5 linked regions of the Oryzias latipes genome follow. The protein of the gene in region 4 interacts with the protein of the main gene of each other region in a pairwise test. Links are inferred from orthologs where the notes say so. Each region holds a gene or a part of one and is shown on either strand. Other genes may lie near its edges.

Evidence for each region.
Region 1: the proteins of ppl (region 4) and rab3ip interact in binary tests that used the Homo sapiens proteins (3 or more experiments, as listed by UniProt). The two-hybrid records come from large-scale screens. The link is inferred for Oryzias latipes from reciprocal best matches to the Homo sapiens genes PPL and RAB3IP.
Region 2: the proteins of ppl (region 4) and akt1 interact in a two-hybrid assay, tested with the Homo sapiens proteins (2 studies listed by BioGRID and IntAct). The link is inferred for Oryzias latipes from reciprocal best matches to the Homo sapiens genes PPL and AKT1.
Region 3: the proteins of ppl (region 4) and alas1 interact in binary tests that used the Homo sapiens proteins (3 or more experiments, as listed by UniProt). The two-hybrid records come from large-scale screens. The link is inferred for Oryzias latipes from reciprocal best matches to the Homo sapiens genes PPL and ALAS1.
Region 5: the proteins of ppl (region 4) and htt interact in binary tests that used the Homo sapiens proteins (3 or more experiments, as listed by UniProt). The link is inferred for Oryzias latipes from reciprocal best matches to the Homo sapiens genes PPL and HTT.

What each region holds. Positions count from the first base shown.
Region 1 is NC_019881.2:22,284,543-22,288,432, forward strand, and holds the end of rab3ip (rab-3A-interacting protein), read left to right. Parts: intron 1-128; coding exon 129-228; intron 229-2,004; coding exon 2,005-2,074; intron 2,075-2,158; coding exon 2,159-2,241; 3' UTR 2,242-3,381; downstream 3,382-3,890. Other genes in the region: tmem19 (transmembrane protein 19), read right to left, coding at 3,651-3,811. UniProt on the Homo sapiens protein: Guanine nucleotide exchange factor (GEF) which may activate RAB8A and RAB8B. Promotes the exchange of GDP to GTP, converting inactive GDP-bound Rab proteins into their active GTP-bound form.
Region 2 is NC_019880.2:14,666,927-14,671,035, reverse strand, and holds the start of akt1 (RAC-alpha serine/threonine-protein kinase), read right to left. Parts: upstream 2,814-4,109; 5' UTR 2,561-2,813; intron 1-2,560. UniProt on the Homo sapiens protein: AKT1 is one of 3 closely related serine/threonine-protein kinases (AKT1, AKT2 and AKT3) called the AKT kinase, and which regulate many processes including metabolism, proliferation, cell survival, growth and angiogenesis.
Region 3 is NC_019863.2:10,038,786-10,042,754, forward strand, and holds the start of alas1 (5-aminolevulinate synthase, nonspecific, mitochondrial), read right to left. Parts: upstream 2,802-3,969; 5' UTR 2,639-2,801; intron 1,497-2,638; 5' UTR 1,467-1,496; coding exon 995-1,466; intron 905-994; coding exon 761-904; intron 585-760; coding exon 365-584; intron 1-364.
Region 4 is NC_019866.2:25,742,624-25,746,928, forward strand, and holds the start of ppl (periplakin), read left to right. Parts: upstream 1-1,497; 5' UTR 1,498-1,572; coding exon 1,573-1,622; intron 1,623-3,495; coding exon 3,496-3,595; intron 3,596-4,305. UniProt on the Homo sapiens protein: Component of the cornified envelope of keratinocytes. May link the cornified envelope to desmosomes and intermediate filaments. May act as a localization signal in PKB/AKT-mediated signaling.
Region 5 is NC_019859.2:35,176,545-35,180,057, reverse strand, and holds part of htt (huntingtin), read left to right. Parts: intron 1-19; coding exon 20-279; intron 280-360; coding exon 361-503; intron 504-1,214; coding exon 1,215-1,443; intron 1,444-3,207; coding exon 3,208-3,349; intron 3,350-3,454; coding exon 3,455-3,513.

The sequences.
Region 1 (3,890 bases), on a different chromosome or scaffold from region 4:
CCTTGCAGGCCAACCTGACAGAGATTCCTCTTCTCCTCGACTCGTACTTTTCCTGGTGTTGGTTGATGAGCGGGTTCAGTTCACGTTCTCCTGAAACTAAACGGTTTTCCTTCTCTGATCTCTGACAGAAAATGTGCCCTGAGTGGTCAGACCAAAACCTGCAAGCACAGAATCAAGTTTGGAGACTCGTCCAGCTATTACTACGTCTCCCCCTTCTGTAGATACAAAGTGAGTACAAACACAAACTACACTTTGGTTTACCTCACAGCTGCTTTGGGACTCCTCTAAGGCGCCGTCGTTCCTCCTGTTAGGTGCCTTCATTCCTCCTCTTAGCGTCCCTATTGGTCGCCGTCGTTCCTCCTCAGAGACTTCTTTATTGCTCCCCTAAAACGCCTTTGTTCCCCCTTTGAGTCGCATGTTGTATCTCCTCTTAGGCAGCTTTATTCCTCCTCATTGCGTCCTTTTTTGGGCGCCGTCGTTCCTCCTCTGAGACGCGTGTTGTTTGTCGTTCATTCCTCCTCTAAGGTGCAGTTTCTTATTTTTTTAACGTAACATCTCAGCTGCTCTAATGGAGTCTGTAGGCTCCGATGTCTGAGCCTCTGCTGCTTTACGTCCGTCCTCATCTCTGAGTCGTTGTTTTAAAAGTAAAATGTTCTGAACGTGGTGATGCAGAAGAAACCCCACATCCTCAGACAGAGACGGGACAGAACAGAACCGGGCTTTTGGGCTGTCGGTTTCATCAGAAACGAGGAACGAACAGCTTCATCTGCAAACAGGTTGAAGCTGAAGTGGATGTGAGCGTTGCAGGACTCAGAATCTTCCACCAGGGGGCGTAGGAGAGCTGCACATATCAAAGCATTTAGGGCTACGTTCACACTGCAGGGCTTAATGCTCAATTCGGATTTTTTGAAAAAATCCGAATTGTTTGCTAGACCGTTCACGCTTCCAAGTAAATCCGAACTTTTGTGATCTCCAGTGTGACCGTGACACGACCCAAACGAGACCCGCATGCGCAGAAGCCAGAAGAATACTCAACGGTGAACGACGTCACTTGTTGTTTGCGGAGCCAACGTTAACAATGGATGTCAACAACAGTGTTGTCAAAAGCGGAGCTCTTTTTGTAATATTACATTTATTTTCACGAAGGAGCAGCACAATTACAATCTTCTCATTTTAAGAAGGCAATGGAGTCGGGATCGTCTGTACCCACTGTAGTGGAAGAGGAATGTGTATGTGTTGGGGCCGCGCCCCCGCGTGTGTGTGTGTGCGTGCAAGCGCGTGACGCGATAGAGAATATGGGGGGGGGGGGCAGTGTGGGCGCGCATTCATGTTGTGTGTTACGGAGGACGGTAATAAAAGGTTTCCCCCAGAATAAATGCTATGGACTCTTTATTAAGCTGTTCTGGAGAATCTAAGGATCAGAACAGGGAGGAGGAGGATCGCCTCGGGTCCCCTGCGCTTGAGCACGGTCAAAGGGGAGAAAGAAAAAAAAAGTAATCGCGGGAAAGGTTCAACACCACGCTCTGCCATTTAGCTGGAATTTTTTACAAAAACCGCCCAGTTGCAATAAAAGCCCTGGAGTTTGGCCTGAAAAGAGCGATCAGCCCAAATATTAATCCAATCGGGGATCTCGCTTCCCTTCCACTGACTGATCTCAGCAGCATCGTCCACCATGGTTGATGTTTACGTTCTCGTTCCCGCCTACTTCAACGCAAAATGATGACGTTTGTTGCGTGTCGATGACGTACAGTTCGGAATTAAGTCGCCTGGCCGGTCAGACGGCGGTCGCAATTGAAAAGAACGGCTACAATTCGGAATCAGGACGGCAAATCCACGGGGCCTGGGTCGCAATTGAAAAGATCGGATCTGTGTCATTCAGACTGTCATGAAAAGATCGGAATTGGGCCGCTTAGGGGCAAAAAAATCGGAATTGGGTCGTTTCAGCCTGCAGTGTGAACGTAGCCTAGGATCATCAACTCACCTGAGAAGTTTGTTTCTCCTCAGATCACAGCCGTCTGCAACTTCTTCACCTACATTCGCTACATCCAACAAGGGCTGGTCAAGCAGCAGGACGGTGAGGCCGAGTCCAGAATGTAAATGTGGGCTGGAGAGGTTCTGAGCGCTTGTGACGGAGGCTCTGCGGGTTCTGTGTCTGCAGTGGAGCAGATGTTCTGGGAGGTGATGCAGCTGCGCAGGGAGATGTCCTTCGCCAAGCTCGGCTATTTCAGGGACCAGCTGTGAGCGGACGGCGCCGCACACTCCCACCTGATGCTCCGCCCTCCTCCCGGTTCTGCCCCCGCCCCCCCTCCTCCTGTCGTCCTGAAGCACCACCACCCGTCCTCCCCCCTCCCCGTGCGTGAGTGTGTTTGTACAGACTGACAGACAGCGCCCCCTCTGGCCGGCCGTGGTCTCTGATCCAGAACCTTCATCTTCTTTTTCGACTCCGTTCAATGAAGAAAAACGGCGTCAAGAAAAAACCCCTGAAGAGTTGGAGATTCTGACTCTTCTGTGGAGATCAGTATTTTCTTAGAGCATCAATAAAATATTTTTAATTATTTAAAATCTATAAAAAAAGACCAAGTAACTTTAAAGTCATAAACACAAATGAAAAAATCAGAAATATTTGGCTTCAATTTCATGCAAAAATATTTAGTTTGAAAGCAAAAAGATTACATAAAAGCATGAAATTGTAATAAAATTACTATGAAAGTTGTGGAATTAATACGTTTTAATTTAAACATTGTAATTACATTTAAGATCTAAATATTGATCCCACCACGTAAATTCAGTCAAGTTTTTATTATTTTATTGTTTTTAATGTCATTGACAAGTAAAATTCTAAATAATTTTTCTAATTTTTTAGTTTGTTAAAATTCACCTTTAATTTAAAATGGTTTTGTGTTGAAAACTTTCATTTTTTTGGTCAAATTTTAGTCATTTTCCACAAAATTTAGCAAAAAAAATCCCACAAAATGCTGCAGAAACAATCAATTTGTGTACAAATGTTTAACATGAAACTGGAGTTCCACCAAACGGCACTGAAACATCAGAAAATGTCACAATTTTTGCATTTTTTAACTATTTGAAAAAGTCACAGGCTTGATTTTATTGTTTTTCTTGAAAGGCGTTTCTCCTAGGAAGTCTGCTGGAGTTTAGTTTTCCGTGGAACGCCGTTTTGCTTCCGGGTTGCTTATGATCTCTGCAGAGCGGATGACGCTCTGCTCCTGAGGCCGCTGGGAACTGACGGCTCTGCAGAGACGCCGCATGCCGACGGCTTTCCTAGTTGGTGGTGTGAATGTGAAGCCCCGCCCCCTTTCCGGTTTGGTTCAGTGCCTTTTCTCTCAGACACTCTGAAATAAAAACAGGAATACCTCTGGAAACTCGCCGCTCTCTGCGCCGTCTGTTTGCCGCTGGTTTCTTTTCAGGAAAAAAAAAAAAATCAAAGTCACGAAGAACCAACTGTAAACTTTATTAGACTATTCCACCTCCCATAGAGTTTCTGGTAAAACATGATCACCATGGTAACCAGCACAGAGGAGGAGGAGGAGCTTCTTGTCCCGGCGACGCTCCTCATTAAATTCGGTTTTCCTAACGTGATTGAGCAGATTCGTCTTCTAATCAGAACCTACAGTCTTTAGTGAGGCGCTCATCTATCGAGGCCACGCCCCCCACGCCATCCCGGGCAGGAAGAGGGCGATGAGGACGCTGGAGAACAGGTTGACGGCATTGTTGTCCAGGATGGGCTTCCCGCAGATCCGCTGCGTTGTGGCGGATTCGGAGCTCACCACCTTTCCGATGCTGGCGTCGAACCCTGAAGGGGGGGAGAGACAGGAAATCAGCTGAGAAAACCGACACGTGACGGTGACCGCCGCCGCCGCCACCACCGTCGT
Region 2 (4,109 bases), on a different chromosome or scaffold from region 4:
GAGATCTGCCTGGCTAACCTCATCCAGCTTATTTGACATCAACAGGAAGTGAATGTGACTCGACAGCCTACGAGTCATATCAGAACTGCCCCGGGGCTTGATAACATCTGTCATTTAATATCTGATGAGCGCGTCTGTTATTGCAGCTTCATTCTCACTTCCATCATTGACTAAACCTTCGAAGTCTCTTGAAGCCGCCGCTTGTGTTTACTGCACAGTGGCTGGTGTTGTCCCACACAGCCACCGTGTGAAGCACTGCGCACGTGGATTTGTAAAAAGCACACAGACAGAGCGCAGTTAATCACTCTAGCAGTTGGGATCACGTCAGCATCTTAAGGCGGACTCTGTGACACCGGCATGCGTGCTTTCATACCTTCATACAGACCGGGAGCCGTCGCACAAACCAAAATGGCGACACTGCACACAAGTCTGACTCTGGAGCCACAACAGAGATCTGGCTGTTTTTAAACCGGGAGCGACCTGTCGCTGCTGCGGCTCTGCTGTGTGGAAAAGCTGGGCTGCAGCCAGCAGCCACTGAATGAACCCAGTACCCTGACAGCGGGTCACATGATCTGCAGTCCGGTGGGCCACCGCCTGCCTGGCTGCCCTGATGTCAGAGACGCTTTCAATCATTCATTTTTCTATCTAAACCTTTGCAGGGAGAGGGGGGGGGGGGGGGGGGACCCCTTTCAATACTAATCAGTGCTATGAAGCAAAAGATGTCAAATAGTTTGCTTGTGACTGGGAGGACAGAGACAACCGTCCCATGTGTTAGAGGCAGGAAGCAAAAAAGAAAAAACAAGCAGTCATCAAGACACCACCAAATTCACTCCAAATCAATAGATTCAAATCTGGTTTTCCTCATTTTTCTGTTTCCGTTTTAGTAAGCAAAACCTGGCAGCTGGTTTGTGGTTACACAGGTAGAACAGTACTCTTTTTTGAAATCATTACAAGAAAGACGAGATCAAACATTCTCCCCTGATCCTGGCAAAAGAAAACATTGAGGCAATGCTTGGTGTGCTTTAAATGCCACAATAGGAACAGGCATTGGTGTGATCTACTACACCGTACAGCGTTCCTCTTTTAGGTTCCTTAAAAAAATAACATCACCAATAATAATAATATTAAGGCTAAGTGGAGTAGTTGTTACTAAATACCAAACCACAGTAGGAGCAATCTTGACAAGCAAGAAGCTTAATCCTGTGATGACATGAACAGCAAACCCTTTATGACTCCCAGAACTGTTTTCACTTTCAGGCTGTCCAGACAGGCTGTGCAGAAGTGTACAGATGCAGCTCAGAGCTCAACTTTGAGCTCTTCTCTGATGTGATTGTTTTTGTTTTTTTGTTTTTTCCATCAAACGATGGAGAAGCCAATTTGAAGGCAACCTGACTCACCTGCGCAACAGCCTGGACCATCTGGGAGTCTCTTTTGCAGAAACCAAACGTTTCAAGCAACAACCCTCTGATCCAGCATGCAACCGGTGGCACATTTGCGTCAATGAAGCTGCGAGGGCATTGGGTGGGAGGCTGCTGGTATTTTCTAAATAAAACAGGGAGAGCCCAGCAGTCACTGGCTGCATCACCACGCCAGCTTGTTGCGTCCTCTCCGGGGGTCACATGTCGCGTCCCCTTGTGTACACAAACTGAGGCAATGCAATCTCATGACCAACAAAACAACTTTGACACTCAAGAGAACAGCCCGCCTGGGGACAATGTTCTGGAAACTTCCAGAGACGGAAGTCAAACATGATTTCACACTTCCATGAAGGCTGTCCTGTTCCCATGTGCAGCACCTCCACATCTATAAGACTGCTGGGGAGGAAAAAAAAGAAAAGAAAATAAACTACCTTTGGCTAAATGGGATGCTTTTAGTAACAGTCATCGCTGTAGGTGGAATAATGACAGTGAGGGCAGTAGAAACCATAAAAACAAGCATTATGTCATTGAACTGATTACTGGAGAGGAAAACATGAAAATAACAGTTGAGGCCTCTCCTTGAGACCTCCCTGGTGTCCGAAAGCCAGAGGCCAAAAAACATAAAATGACTGAAAGGACACGTTTTCAAGAGTGCAGGGTGACAATTCCCAGCAAAGATTTGTTGACAGTGATAGAAACAAACCTTTAATAGCTGAAGCTGAAATGTGTGGCAGCATTTCTGAGCTCAAGAAGAAGAAGCAGTAAACAAAGTGCTAATAGATAACAATGAATGAGCTGCTCTGTCTATTATTGAGCATTTAGTTTGGACTCAACTTTTTTTATTTATTCTTTTATTTCTTTAAGGCCCAATTACGTCAATATTTTCCGTGAGTCTTCACAAAGAAACGAAAAATGAATGATTAGCGTCTGAAAAAAGTGTCTTTCTGCGGTTGGTGCAAAACCACAACGAGTTCATAAGCCCTAAACTGGAACGCGGCGATTCTACGGCGACAAAAAAGAGCCATAAAAGTGTCTCATTTCGGGGGTTTTCACTTCGCAATGGATAAAAAAAGGATATGGGGCCTAGCAGGGCAGCTTGGGTGAGAATAACCGCATCCCATGTAAGTACAATGGGGACCTACCCTGTCTGGCTGTCGGCCTCTTGCAGTTTAACCACGCGACGGAAAACGCGGCCGTTTACCTGTGCGGGAACTCAACAGCGTGTCCGTCTCATTACAGTGGGCCGTTTCGGCGGTATTTTGAGTTGGTAAGTCCTTCAACAATGTGCACAGAAGTCTCTCATTTACTCCGTTTCTCTTGCCTTTCTTCCACTACACCTCCCAAACGCGCTGTCTGCAATGCCTCTGTGGCGGCCCGGCTCTCCCGGGTCCTAGCGCTGGTCTTTTATCAGCTCCACAAGACGAGCCGTTGGATCTCTGCTGTCCCGTTTGGGAGAAATGATTTTTTTTTTTTTTAATGGAGCGGGTCTGCGAGGTCTGGATGCACTTGATGAACTCCTCTGTGTTCTATCTGGTGGTGAAGCGGGTGTTTGGACCCCCAGAGGTCCCGCTAATGTTTGAAGGGGTCCTTCCTGCAATGAATGACTTGATTCACTTCATGGAACATGAGATTCTGTTCAAGATTGATTTACTGTAGGAAGTCAGTGGTGATTCATTTTTGTTAATTTGCTGTGGCTGTAATCTTTGCTGGTATGATCACTCAGAGAAAACAACAGGTCCAGGGCAGAAGTGAAAGTGCAGAATTTGAAGGATGATTGTCAAAAGAAAATAGGATGAGGAGGAAGGAGGCTGAGAGGAAGATGCTGAGAGTCTTTGTCACAGAATAAACATGAAAAAAGCACACGTTGGAAAAAGTGAATCAAAAATAAATGCATGAATGTCACCAAATAAATAAGTTTTTGTCTCAATTTTGTGTGTGTGTGTGTTTGTTTTTTATTTTTATTTTTTATAGCAAATATAAAGCAGTTGGATAGGACGATTAAACAAATATAAAGCTGGTTGGAACAAATAATGTGTTTTTTGTTAAAATACGTATAAATCAGTAAAGACTTTAAATGTCAAGAATGATAAATATGCAAGGCTTGGTGTGGAAAAAACTTGATCTTTCCAGTAAAATATATAAAAAAAGGTACATTTTATTTATGCCCCTTATTTTCATGCACTACACATAAGTATTTACTTTTATTACATACAGTATACATTTTTTGACACTTTTTCAATATTATTATCATTCTAAAAGAGGGGTTATGCTTTTATTGTGGGAACTCTGGTCACTTAGTATCACAATGCACCATCCGTTTAAACTCCAGTACCCCCTGTTAGATGACTGGCCACGGGGGGATAATTCTGAAAACTCCAAAGAAAATAAATTTATTTTTGTTCCTGTAGAATCTCTCCCCAATTTTCATTCACGAATATAGGGCTCTTATTGACTCTGGCGCTGAACACAGCCTCATCGATCAGCATCTCCTTAAACAACTCACGTTACCCACCGGGCCACTCGACTCTCCAACGCTGCCGGGTTAGGTGGTCAACAACTTTCCCGGATCACGAATCGTTCCAAACTTATTCTCATTCTCACCTCCGGTAACCATAGAGAATATCATAGATTTTTTTTTTACTCAATTTCCTCAGACCCTTATAATTCTGGGGTGCTCCTTGCTCCAACTTC
Region 3 (3,969 bases), on a different chromosome or scaffold from region 4:
GCGGTGAGTAAAAGGTGAGTATGATCAAGCCTACTAAAACAAACACGAAACGTAAATTGTTTGAATTAAGGCCAACAAATACTCTGCACCCACACAAACAAGGCTTAAAACATGTTTAGATGCATCTAAATACAATTTTTCTTGTTCCGTCTGCTTACACTCAGCTCTCACAGTTTGACAGGTTTAACTCAAACTCAAACTTTATTTATTTATATAGCGCCTTTCATTTTGGTTAAAAACACAAAGCGTTTAATCATTAGTGGAAATAAGGGGGAAATATTTGTGTCATTACACAACAGACATTGACCCCAGAAAGTAGCTCAAATGTCATCCGTTCCAAACCAACCTATCCCGCATTACTCACATTATGGATTGCACAACTTGAGGGTGTCGACTCATGCCCAGGTAGTCATTGCTGCACCAGACGGACACCTCCCTCTTGTCCTCCAAAGAGCCAGTGAAGTCGTCAGCCATCGGAAACTCCGTGGCCAGACGATTCACCGTCTTAAACACGCGGTACGTGTGATCGCTCTTCTTCTCCTCAATTTTCTTCTCAAAAAAGTCATCGTACTGGAAACGGGACACTGTGGCAAAACAGGAAGACACAATCTCAATATAGAAAGCAAGATGACAAAGCAAGATGGAAATTTTACCCAACTTTTGACACAAAACATGAATGTAAAAACTGTTTAGCAGTAGTAAACATGAGATTCAGCCACCACTTCCACTCATCTAGAAACAAGAAAAACAGAAATCCTACTTCTTCCAGGCATGTTGTCCTGAAGCAAGTGGCTGACTCTCTTAGGGCGCTGCTTCAGGAGGGTCTTCATTAGGTTTGACTGCTCCTCTGCTTTTTTGGTACTGGCCAAGGATGTCTCCTTCAACTGGGTGGATGAAACTTTAGCTAGACAGTTTAAAGAATGAAAGAATTAGTCAGCTTATATGCATTGAGGAACAACCGGCAAAAACATGAGGATTGTGGGAGAAATCTTACCTTTCTGGACGGTGCGCACTTCCTGTACATCCTCCTGGAACTCCATGGCAACCTGACGGAACACAGCGCTGTTCTTCTGCTTCATTTCAGCAGCCAGAAAGGGGCATTTTGAGGCCACGTTTTGGCCTTGAGATGGCATGGGATGGCCAGAAGGCAGTTTTGACTCCTCTTCTTGTTTAGGAGCTGCAAGAGGGAAAGATTTCCAGTTTATTTGCAGTGTTCCAGCATGATAGGGAGAATATTTTATTTGGATCCTTCTTTCTTCTTCACCTTCAACGTTATTTGAACCACTCTGCTGATGAGACGATGAGGAGCAGAGGGCCCGTGCCATGGAAGGGGCCATGGGTTTAGCAGCGAGCTCCATCATAATGGGGCATCGTTGAGCATATGTGACCAGAGACTTCTTTGTCTGCTGGAAGAAAGCCTGAGGGACACTGGCCAAAAATGGGCATCGACGCACTATCACTTCCATGGTGAATGGGACCTTCAACTGCCAGGAACTCTAAAAGAAAGATATGAGACTTCAGGAAAAATGCATAAGTACAGCAGACACCTTTGATTCACAGAGGTGTTATAAGAGTTGATAACAAAAACATAATACATATCAGGCTTCTGTTTCATTCATCGGTGAAGATAAAACAGAATAAAGTTTGATTGAGAGCAGAAATATGGAGGGGGGGGGGGGGGGCAATGCCAATAATTTCAGATGAGCTATAGTCAGAATGAATTGATGACCTTCAGGTTTCAACACAACAACCTAAAAATGTTACATTAGTGTTGTTTAATGATTATCTTTCATGGTGTTTGTATTTTTTAAGAAAAAAAATGGTGGGTTAATAAACAGCTTGTTCAGTAATAATAAAACATCTTCATCACACATCATCTCCAACTTAAGAGATGTTTTATTTTTTTTGTTTTTTGTTGTTAATTGTTCCCAACTTGATCCCTTTGATTTTTGCTCCAGGATTCATGCAATGACACCTAAAATAAATCTATTAAGATCTTATATTCACAAAAAAGTTATTAGCAACAACTTTAAATATCATTGTCAAGCCCTTCTTGGGAAATAACTTTTATGCAACACTGGACAAAACACATTCCTCGGCTTTTTTTTTTCTCCAGACAAATCTTTATTAAATAATAGTAATGCGTTGATCTCATTTAGCTGTTTTATTTCCATTACTATTGTTGTCAGCATTTTTTATAATATAAACTACAAAGAAAGACAATTATATTAACTTTAACAACGGATCTTTGGAATTGATATAAAACATTAATATAGAACAACAACAGTATGTATGTAAATATTAATAAAGCTATAGATAAAAGCCTCAGTTGCGGTTAACGAACGATTATTTTTTATTACTTAACTTAATGCCCTACGAGGAAGTTATCTAAAGGAATTAAATGTTCTACATAAATTAAATAACTACTGAGTCTGGTTAAATCTACAATATCCACAAATCAGAAACAAAATCGTAGTTCGGGAAGTGATACTGTAAAACAGTCACGATGATGATCACGACAGGCGACCTCTCGTGATCCTTGCCGGGTGACCTAGCTTAACGTTAGCCGGACTGCTAATATTAGCTAAAACGTCAGAAACGATCGATGAGGTTCAATAAAAAATGTTCAAAGACTTACCTTTTTATATGTCTGCGGAACCGCGTACTCCTTTTTGTGGTCTCAGAACCTGACAGGCTTTTCAACTGATGTAAGACCTGAAAATGTGAACTGCTTTTTTAAGATGAGATATGTAAGCGTTACCCTGCACTGAGGACGAACGATAAGGACGACTGAGCATCGGTTGTATATAGATGTCCAACTCTCGCGAGACAAGATGGCTTTTCTTTTTCACTTCCTGAAACGCTCCGCCCACATCTAAAGATAACACATATGACTCATTTTACAACAGGAAATGCAAACCTTAAATACAAATTGTATACCTGATTTTTTTTTACATACATCTATATTAATTTACTAAAGATGTTTATGCTTAAATATTTTTTTTGTTATGAAAACACGTATGTAGATTTAAAAAAAAGACAAACTATAACTTTTACTAAGACATAAAACAAAAATCAAATTCGAGTATTTTTATTTTAGAAAGCGAAAAACAGAAAACGCAAACAAGCATTACAACATCAGAGCTTAACATCAAAGGTCACTTAAGGCAATCAAAACCTTGTGTCTACAAGTCATCAGGCAGCCCATGTGAATTGCAAATCCTCAATCTCTTTTTCTGTACAGAGTGATCTTTAAATATATTTAAAGGATAAAATACTGAGATCTGTCTGTAAACATGTATAGCAATGTGTTTTGATATGCCTAATTCTCATCAGAGAGAAATTAAGATTTGGTTGTATTGTTCATTTAAATATGTTCTGACATTTACATTTGGACTAAATGTGTTCTATATTAATTGTGGTGTGGCTTTAAGTTTAAAAAAGAGCCCCCAGACACAGTTTGGCTACCGATCTTAAACTCTTGGTGTGCTGTTTCCCCCTCTCTTTTCTTCTGAAGAGAACTTGAATTCTTCCGCTACCTATTTATATTAAAAAAATGGTGATGAAGGGGATACTAGAGCATGGTCGTGGATGTATGATGTACTTCTGCACGTCTTGAAACATCTTCATCAAAGGTTTCTGATTAAATCCAAAGCCTAAGTGAAACATCCATTTAAGTATTTTTAGGCCTCTTAATCTTCAGCCCAGGTTGTCCGTCTGCTTGTGGCAGCTCACATGGTACACCGACCATGCACAAGTTCTTGATACAAAAAACAAAAAAACGTATTAGTGTTTGTCCCACACTTTGAGCAACTAGTTCCTTCTTATTTTTATTTATTGTTGGTGTTATTAAAAATAAATCAGCACAGAAATGGTTCTGGTTCCATTAAACACAAAAATGCTGTGTAGCTCATGCTCATAGCAGTTTTAGGAGGCTACGGGTGCAACACATGACTTGTGTTCATGTAA
Region 4 (4,305 bases):
CCAGAACTAGTTCTCTGACATTTTAGAGCGGAGACTTTTGGAGTTTAGCCTTAAAGTTCATGTCAGGAAGAAACGGGAGCTCTTCAATCAGAAGGGACTGTGAGCAAAAAGAAATCAAAAGTAACAGGCATGATCAACTCCACAGAGAAAACTAAATGTAAAACAGGAATCTATGACAAACAATACTGCTCCTGTTTGAAACATGAGAACGTTTCCAAAGGCAAAACCTTTCAACCAGCAACAGAACAGGAGGAAGACTGTCCTGCTGAACCGCTTTCATTTTCTCACATCAGTTGAAATCCGTTGGTATTTGAAGGTTGGCACCGGCGTCGACTTTCCACAGACGGATTTATGAAGACATGAGAGCTCGTTCTGCGTTTGGGGTCATTGATACGTCTCTATGAATGGATCACTGCTGATTGGTCATTATTCTTGCTTTGATTGCTTGAAATAAAACACTTCAAATCAAATCAAATTCAGAATCATGCAGCGTTTCATACAAAGTTGTTGTGGTTTCAGGCGTTTCTCTTCCTGCTTCACGGATGGATTTCAGTCCTTTTCAGGTTGTTTTTGATCAACCAATCCCATCATCCTTTTGCATCCTTAGAATCTGTGCTTGGAATCTGTTTTCCAGTAACACTGAAGAGGCAGGAGCCGATCATTCTGTTTTAATGACAGTCCCACACTTTGTTTTTTAACTTGTCCTGTCCAACAGCTGGGCAGACAGAAGAGGACTGAGGGCCTCTTGTGTTGGACATATTTTACTTTAACAAGAGGGGTTATGAACCTACAGACAAACCAGAGGTATGTCTGAATAAACCCCCTTTTGGAATCCAGGCCAAACTTTATTCAGTTTAATCATATTTGAAGAATGTTTGTGTGACGGAAAAGGAAAGGAGGGAAGAAGAGTTTTTCTCCCAGATCCATCCCTCTGTAAATGCTGGAGATGGTGTGTTCCTGGAGGTCAGAGGTCAGAGAAAGCATTTCCTTAAGCTGTTGTTTAATTCAAATGTCATAAATTGGTTTCACGACCAAATTCAGCAAATTCCCAAAAAACAGACACTTTGTCTTAACTGTAAAAACAGAACAGCCCATAGAGGCGACAGGCACGTGACACGGAAGGCTTTTCCATGAAAGAACTCCCGCCTTCTGCGGCTTCAGGTGAGGCTGAAACCTTTCAGAGAATCTCTGATCTCTGCTGCGTTCTGACCGCAGGTGAAACAGGACAGACCGCAGTCCTGACGGTCACACCTCATCCATGCACGCGCGCGCGCACAGGACAGACCACAGTCCTGACGGTCACACCTCATCCATGCACGCGCGCGCGCACAGGCGTGTTCTGCCCGCCCATCCGTCCCGGTGCTACAGGTATGTTGAAGTTGTTTCGGGGCGTGGCTTGTCACTGTTGGCAGCCAGGTGTGCGCGTCGCGCCTGCGCCTCGGTGACATTGATTGTGAAGGACGCGCAGACACGCCCCTCAAACAACACCTGCGGCGCGAGCGCAGCGCACCTCATTCTGTCTCACCTGGATCCCGCGAGCGGCTGGTTGTAGGAGCTTACAGGTGATCCGCCATGCTGAAGAAGAAGAGCAAGTCCTCGGCGGTCACGCCGCCCAAACCCACGTGAGTCTTGCGCGTGTTAGTCTGGGAGATTTTTGTCCTGGTTGTGGGTTCAAACCTCTGGAATCGAGGGCCGCGTGCACGCTCCTGCAGCTGGAGGAACAGCTGAGGTGCGCGCGCCGATCCTGTGATTCTCCGTCATCAGGTCATGTTCTCCTGGGTTCTGTTGTTCAGCAGTTCTGGTGTTTAGAGAAGGTTCTCCATTTGGACTCTGATGTCTTCCTGGAGTCCAGAGTGGGACTTTATGGCAGTCCAAGGAGATCCACTGTCCTGCTGCCGAGTCCTGGGCTGATGGACCCGTTCTGGGGTCTGTGTCAGGGGTTCCATGTGAACACAGATGTTTCTTTGCCTTCAGCAAAGTCCTGCAGGGACTGAGGCAGTGTTCCTGTGGATCTTTCCGTGCTGTGGTGGAGTGGATCCCTGTGAAATCCACCCTGCTCCTGCTGCCACGCCCTCTTCTCAGGACAGAGCTCTCAGCCGCTGCACGATTCCCAGACCCATCGAATGTGTAGGACTTCAACAGGAGGCGTGTCGTTGCAGAAGAGTCCAGACAGGGAGCTTCCTGTCCCTGAAAAGAGGGAAAATGGGGTGGGGGGTGGCATGGGGGGCTTTAGAGCTACTGACTTTGAGTTGGAAGGTTTCAAACCTTTCTGCCATCAGCAGAGAGCAACTGAACCAGGTTGTGGTTCTCAGCAGACCTTTGGTGTCTGTTGGAACGCCGAATCCTTCATCAACCTTGGCAGATCAGCTTTGTGTGAAAGGAGCCCCCCCCCCTTGGATGAAGCTACACAAACGTTCTGCCAGCGGCTTCCACAGCACTCGGCACCTGTTCAAACTCGTCTCTGAGTGCCAAGCGTTGAATGACGGCGTTTGTGCTCACCTGCTGGAGGGAACGGGCCGCTCTGCTTCTCAATAGGCGCCCTGTCTGTTTTTCATGAGGCGCAGACGAGTGCACGCCATCTGCACGGCCTCATGGTTACCAGTGTGGTTGGCCGACGGTGGCATGAAGAACAGAAGGTCCAGTCTCAGCCCTTTGACCTGCATGTGATCCATGACTGGAGGTGTGAACATGTGTGACCTTCAGCATTTTCATTTCTGAAGTTTGGTTTGTGAGACGCACCGTCCGGCCTGACAGGGGAATGTGGGGGAATCAGACGTGTTGTCATCTCACAGCGCCACACCAAACCTGCTGCCACTCCATGTATTGTATACTTTAGCCCCCCCCCCCCCCCCCCCCCCCCCCCCCCCCCCCCAGCTGGCGGAGTTAAGTCGGTGCAAATGACTTCAAAGTCAACACGCTTTTATTTTGAAAGCAACACATTAGTTCTTCATCCAACCCTGCAGCAGAAAACAAACCGGATGCAGCGGCTGTTCTTCATTTTGTTTCAATTCACGACGTCTAGAAGTTTTTTGCAGTTTGGGGGGGGGGGCTATGTCTTCAACAAACATTGGGCCCCTTTGTGGAAGAACTCTGTTCTTCTGTCTTCTAACGCCGCCTCTCAGCGCTGAAGGCAGAAAAACTCGGGTTGTTTTTAGTCGATCTGTCAGTTTGGCTGTAGACAGTTGGGCTCCGTGCACAACGTGCACGTGCAGGCTCAACAGACCTGTTCTGTGGGTTTCTACAGGAGGTGCATGTTGTGAGTCAACGTGCACGCTCATTGTGTGGCCTGACAGGGAGTGTCTGCTGGGTGGCATTACGAAGCAACCTGAAGGGCCAGATTCCTTCACATGTCAGCTGTAACCTTCCCCGGCCACGCCCTCCTGGAGGCTGTGGTCTGAACTGTGGGTCTGCAGGGCATGAAGCGTGAAAGTGGCTTCCAGCTGATCTCTGCTGCTTGAAAAGCCTAAATAATCCGCATGTGTGTCTGTCTTGAAGTGCCGCCCCCACGGAGCTGAGCGTTCTGGTCGAGAAGCTGCAGAAGAACGCCGACAAAGTGGAGAGGAACATCATGGAGATCGAGCAGAACCTGAACAAGGTACAAAGGAGGGTCCAGGACGCCGATGTTTGAGATCCTCAACCAGACTGTTGGTTCTGGGCTGGTTCTAAGAACCAGAGCACAGCTGGTCTTGAACAATGTGACCATAGAACAGAATCCCTCACTCTTTAGACTTCAATGACATGTCTGTGGAAATGGTGAATGATGAACACTTGTATAGTGCTTGTCTACCCAAAGGCCCAAAGTGCTTTACAGTCACATTCACACACTCATGGCAGCCTTCATTTTCCAGGAAAGAAAAACAAAAATCCATCAGATTGAGTTGCAACTAATTTGGTAGCAGTGATGGCTCTGACGTCATTGTCGAGCTGGACCGCCTGGCAGACGTGCACCACAGTACCTTTACCCAGATCTGAAGACAGTTGTGCTGTACCAGAGAAGGTCACGAGGTCAACGTTCTGTCAGTCTTCTAATCTGACAAAACGGGGAACATTTGCTTCATTCAAACATGAAGGCTGGTCCGTCTAGTCTGTAGTTGAGTGTCTGCTGGAAATGTAGACGAACCAAAGTCTGCTTGACCAAACGCATTCAAACCCAACTCTCTCAGCAGTTATGTCATTAACATGAGGACAAAAATGTCTGCCAAAAGGAAATAAAAACTTTGACTTGGTGGTGTAGACTAGTCATGAGACTCTGACGCGAGTAAACGCTCCAGCACAGCATCATGTCTTGTATCTAGGTCCAGTACA
Region 5 (3,513 bases), on a different chromosome or scaffold from region 4:
CTGAAATGCCCTTCTTCAGGCCTCGGTCGCCACAGTCCAGCTGTGGGTGTCTGGCATCCTGGCTGTGCTCAGGGTGCTGATCTCTCAGTCCACCGAGGACATTGTTCTGTCCCGCGTCCACGAACTGTCCCTCTCCCCTCACTTCCTGTCCTGCCGCACCATCCGCCGCCTGCAACAGCAGGGCGCCGCCCAGTGCGAGCTTCCTGCTGCTGAAACGCTTTCCAACCAAGAAGCTAATGGAGACGCACAGAAAGCTCCACCGGAGGAGACGTTTGCTCGGTAAAGTTTCCGAGCTGAAGCACCGACATGTCTTATTTTTCTGTTTTTCCCTCTGTTGACGTGTTTTCTGCCTGGTTCTAGGTTCCTCCTTCAGCTGGTCGGCGTTTTACTCGACGACATTTCCAGCAGGCGGGTGAAGGTGGAAATCACGGAGCAGCAGCACACCTTCTACTGCCAGCAGCTGGGCACGCTGCTCATGTGTCTCATACATGTCTTCAAGAGTGGTGAGCATGATCAGCCCCCGTGGTGGAGCGTGCATTACACACCTTCAGCACCGCTACGTCTGAATCCCTCATGAACCGTTTTATGATGCAGAAACCAGCTTTGCATTGCAGATGAAAAATTCCTGTAGCCACAATAAATTTTCATCAGAGTGGATCTTTAAGGACAGCCAGGATTTAACATTACCCTCATAAAACTACTTTGACTTTCAATCCGCTTGTTGCATTTGGTCGTCCTTGCAGTTGTACTTTGGCCTTCTTTTACGCCCCTCTAAAGTTACTGCTAACTACTTGTTTGGACAGATTGCTGTGATTTGTGTTGCACTGTTCATTTGACCTTCAAATGCAAAATTTTTGTAACAAGGGGAAAAAAATCCCAACAACTTCATCTTCATTGGAGACACCAACACACTTCCTGGTCCTCAAAAGTGGCTTTTCCCTCAAATCCTAAACGATTATCAAAAAGCCAAAGGAAACGGATCCCCGCTTAGTGTTTAAGGTCAAAACTATTAAATCTGCAGCTGCAGGCAAACTCAGATCCTCCTCGACGCCTGGCGAACACTTAAAAACTTTTCAAGAAGCTCTTGTAGTTCAGTTTATGTTTTCTGTCGTGAAAACCAAAATCTGCTGTCATGAAACTCCATAAGCACTCCACTCCAGTGAAACAGCCACTTTGTACTTTACATCTGACAGGACATCTTCCTCTCTCTCCAGGCATGTTTCGCAGGATCACGGCAGCAGCCAGCCGTCTCCTGAAGGCCGAGAGCGGAGGAGGTCTGACCGGTTCCGAAGCAAACCTCTTCTACCCCTTAGAGGGGCTGAACAGCAAGGTCCAGTGCCTCATAACCACCCATCCTCCGCTGGTTCTGCTGTGGTGCCAGGTCCTCCTCATTATCAACTACACCAACTACAGCTGGTGGGCGGAGGTTCATCAAACACAGAGGTTTGAACCGACACATGCCAGAGCCCAAAAAGCCTTCAAAGCAAAATCCAGTGACATTTAGGTGTGATTATGCCTATTTCACCGCATACTATCTCATAGAAAGATTGCAATGCCTTAAATCAGAGCAATTTCTTTCTCAACCTCTTTGTGTCACCACAGGCGTTCCTCAGGGCTCTATCATTGGACCCACCCTTTTCTCAATCTACATGAACAACATAGCTTTCTATGCTATAAAAATAGTTTCAGAATAGTCACAGAATATAAATATCTTGGAATCTGGCTAGACAACGCATTATCTTTGTCACCCCACATCCACCATTTGCAGTCAAAGGTTAAGTCAAAATTCCTCTCACACCTCGGTCCCTTGTTTGGTTATAGCGATTTCATTTACAGATCAGCCACAAAGCGTTTGCTGAACATCATTCTGCCATTCCATTCATGCTCCCTTCAAAACCCACCCATGTACCCAGACCCTCAACTCTTCACTAACACAAAGCTCTCATTGGTCTTTCACCTCCTTCTTCAAGCCAGCTTTTGCACACTTCCTCCCCCATGTGCAACACCCGCTCTGCAAAACAGTCTCCTCATTGGTTTCTTACAGTCTGCACCACCCAGAGACTGGAATAATTCACGAAAATCGCTTAGAGTGGACAGTTTTAGAAGGAATCCTGACACTCGAAGGAGTCCTGACACTCATCCTGATTTTTATGCTTTTCTGTGCGTCTCCTTTCATTTCTCTTTCTCAAAAGGCCTTGCCTTTTGCCAGGCCAAAGTTCAAAATAAGTTTTTTTTTGTTGTTGTCTGTTTTGCCTGGATAAATAAAGATCAAATGAAAATATATTAAATATGAGATGTGTACAAATGTTGGTGAGTTTTTGAGGATGTGGCAGGGGTCACATGTTTTGCTCAAAGGCAAAGAAAGAAGAATCGTGAAAACAATCTGGTCCTTCCTTGCAGTCCGGGAGAGAAAAGATGGGTAAAACATCATTATGAGGTGTTTAAACACGTCTTTGCTCTGATATGTGAGCTCCTCAGTTTTTTCCTGTTTCATTCAGTTGTGCGGAAAGATTAGAAGACCGATCTTCTGCCGCAAAGAGAATTAAGAGGTTTTCTTTTTTTTAGTTCTGGGAGCTGTTCCCCATATAGGAGTTCTTTCCAGAGTTCCCAATTTTATTTTATTTATTTATATTCTATTTTTTGACAGGAGTATCAACATTCACACCACTATCACATTGTTTCTAGGTTACACATAATTTTACATCATGAATATGTTCAGTCAGTAATCCAGAATGCGTGTTCATCATTTTGTACTCTTCCCCCCCTTTTTTTTTTTAGGAACAAAGGACAGAACGGCTGTCAATCTTACTCATCCTCCAAGACAAAATCAAACTTGCATTCTTATCTGTTATCCTGTAGTAAAGAAGTATTTTACTGAAATTAAAGTAGGATCTGGTCTAAGAGGTCCAATATATTTGACCCATTTTGCCCACCATTTCTAGCCTTTAGCTGTATGCCCCTTTATTGCAAATGTCAGACTTTCCATAACATAAATGTCATGTGTAGTCTTATACCAATCATCTAATGTTGTAACATCTGGTTATAACCAATTCCCTCCCACCAGCAATATTCTCATTAAATATTGGTCTTCTGCAGACCGCATGTGTTGGATTACTGCTCCCAAATATACAGCAGAAGCATTAAAGGGGAGGGTTTTTTGAAATGTCGTCTCCAAACATCAAAGGCTTTTCTTCTTCTCCTCCTCAGACGCCACAGCCTCTCCTCCACCAAGCTACTGAGCTCCCACTCCTCTGGAGAGGGCGAAGAGGAAAGCTGCGAGTCGCGGTTAGCCGTGGTGAACAGAGAGATCGTACGCAGTGGAGCCTTAATCCTCTTCTGTGACTACGTGGTGAGGAGGCCTGACTGCACACAGAGCGTCTGAATAACGTGTGACGGTGATGTTCGAATGTTGGAAACAAGGAAAATTCTCTTGATGTTATGCTTCTACGCTCAGTGCCAGAACCTTCATGACTCGGAGCATCTGACTTGGCTGATTGTCAATCACGTGCGTGA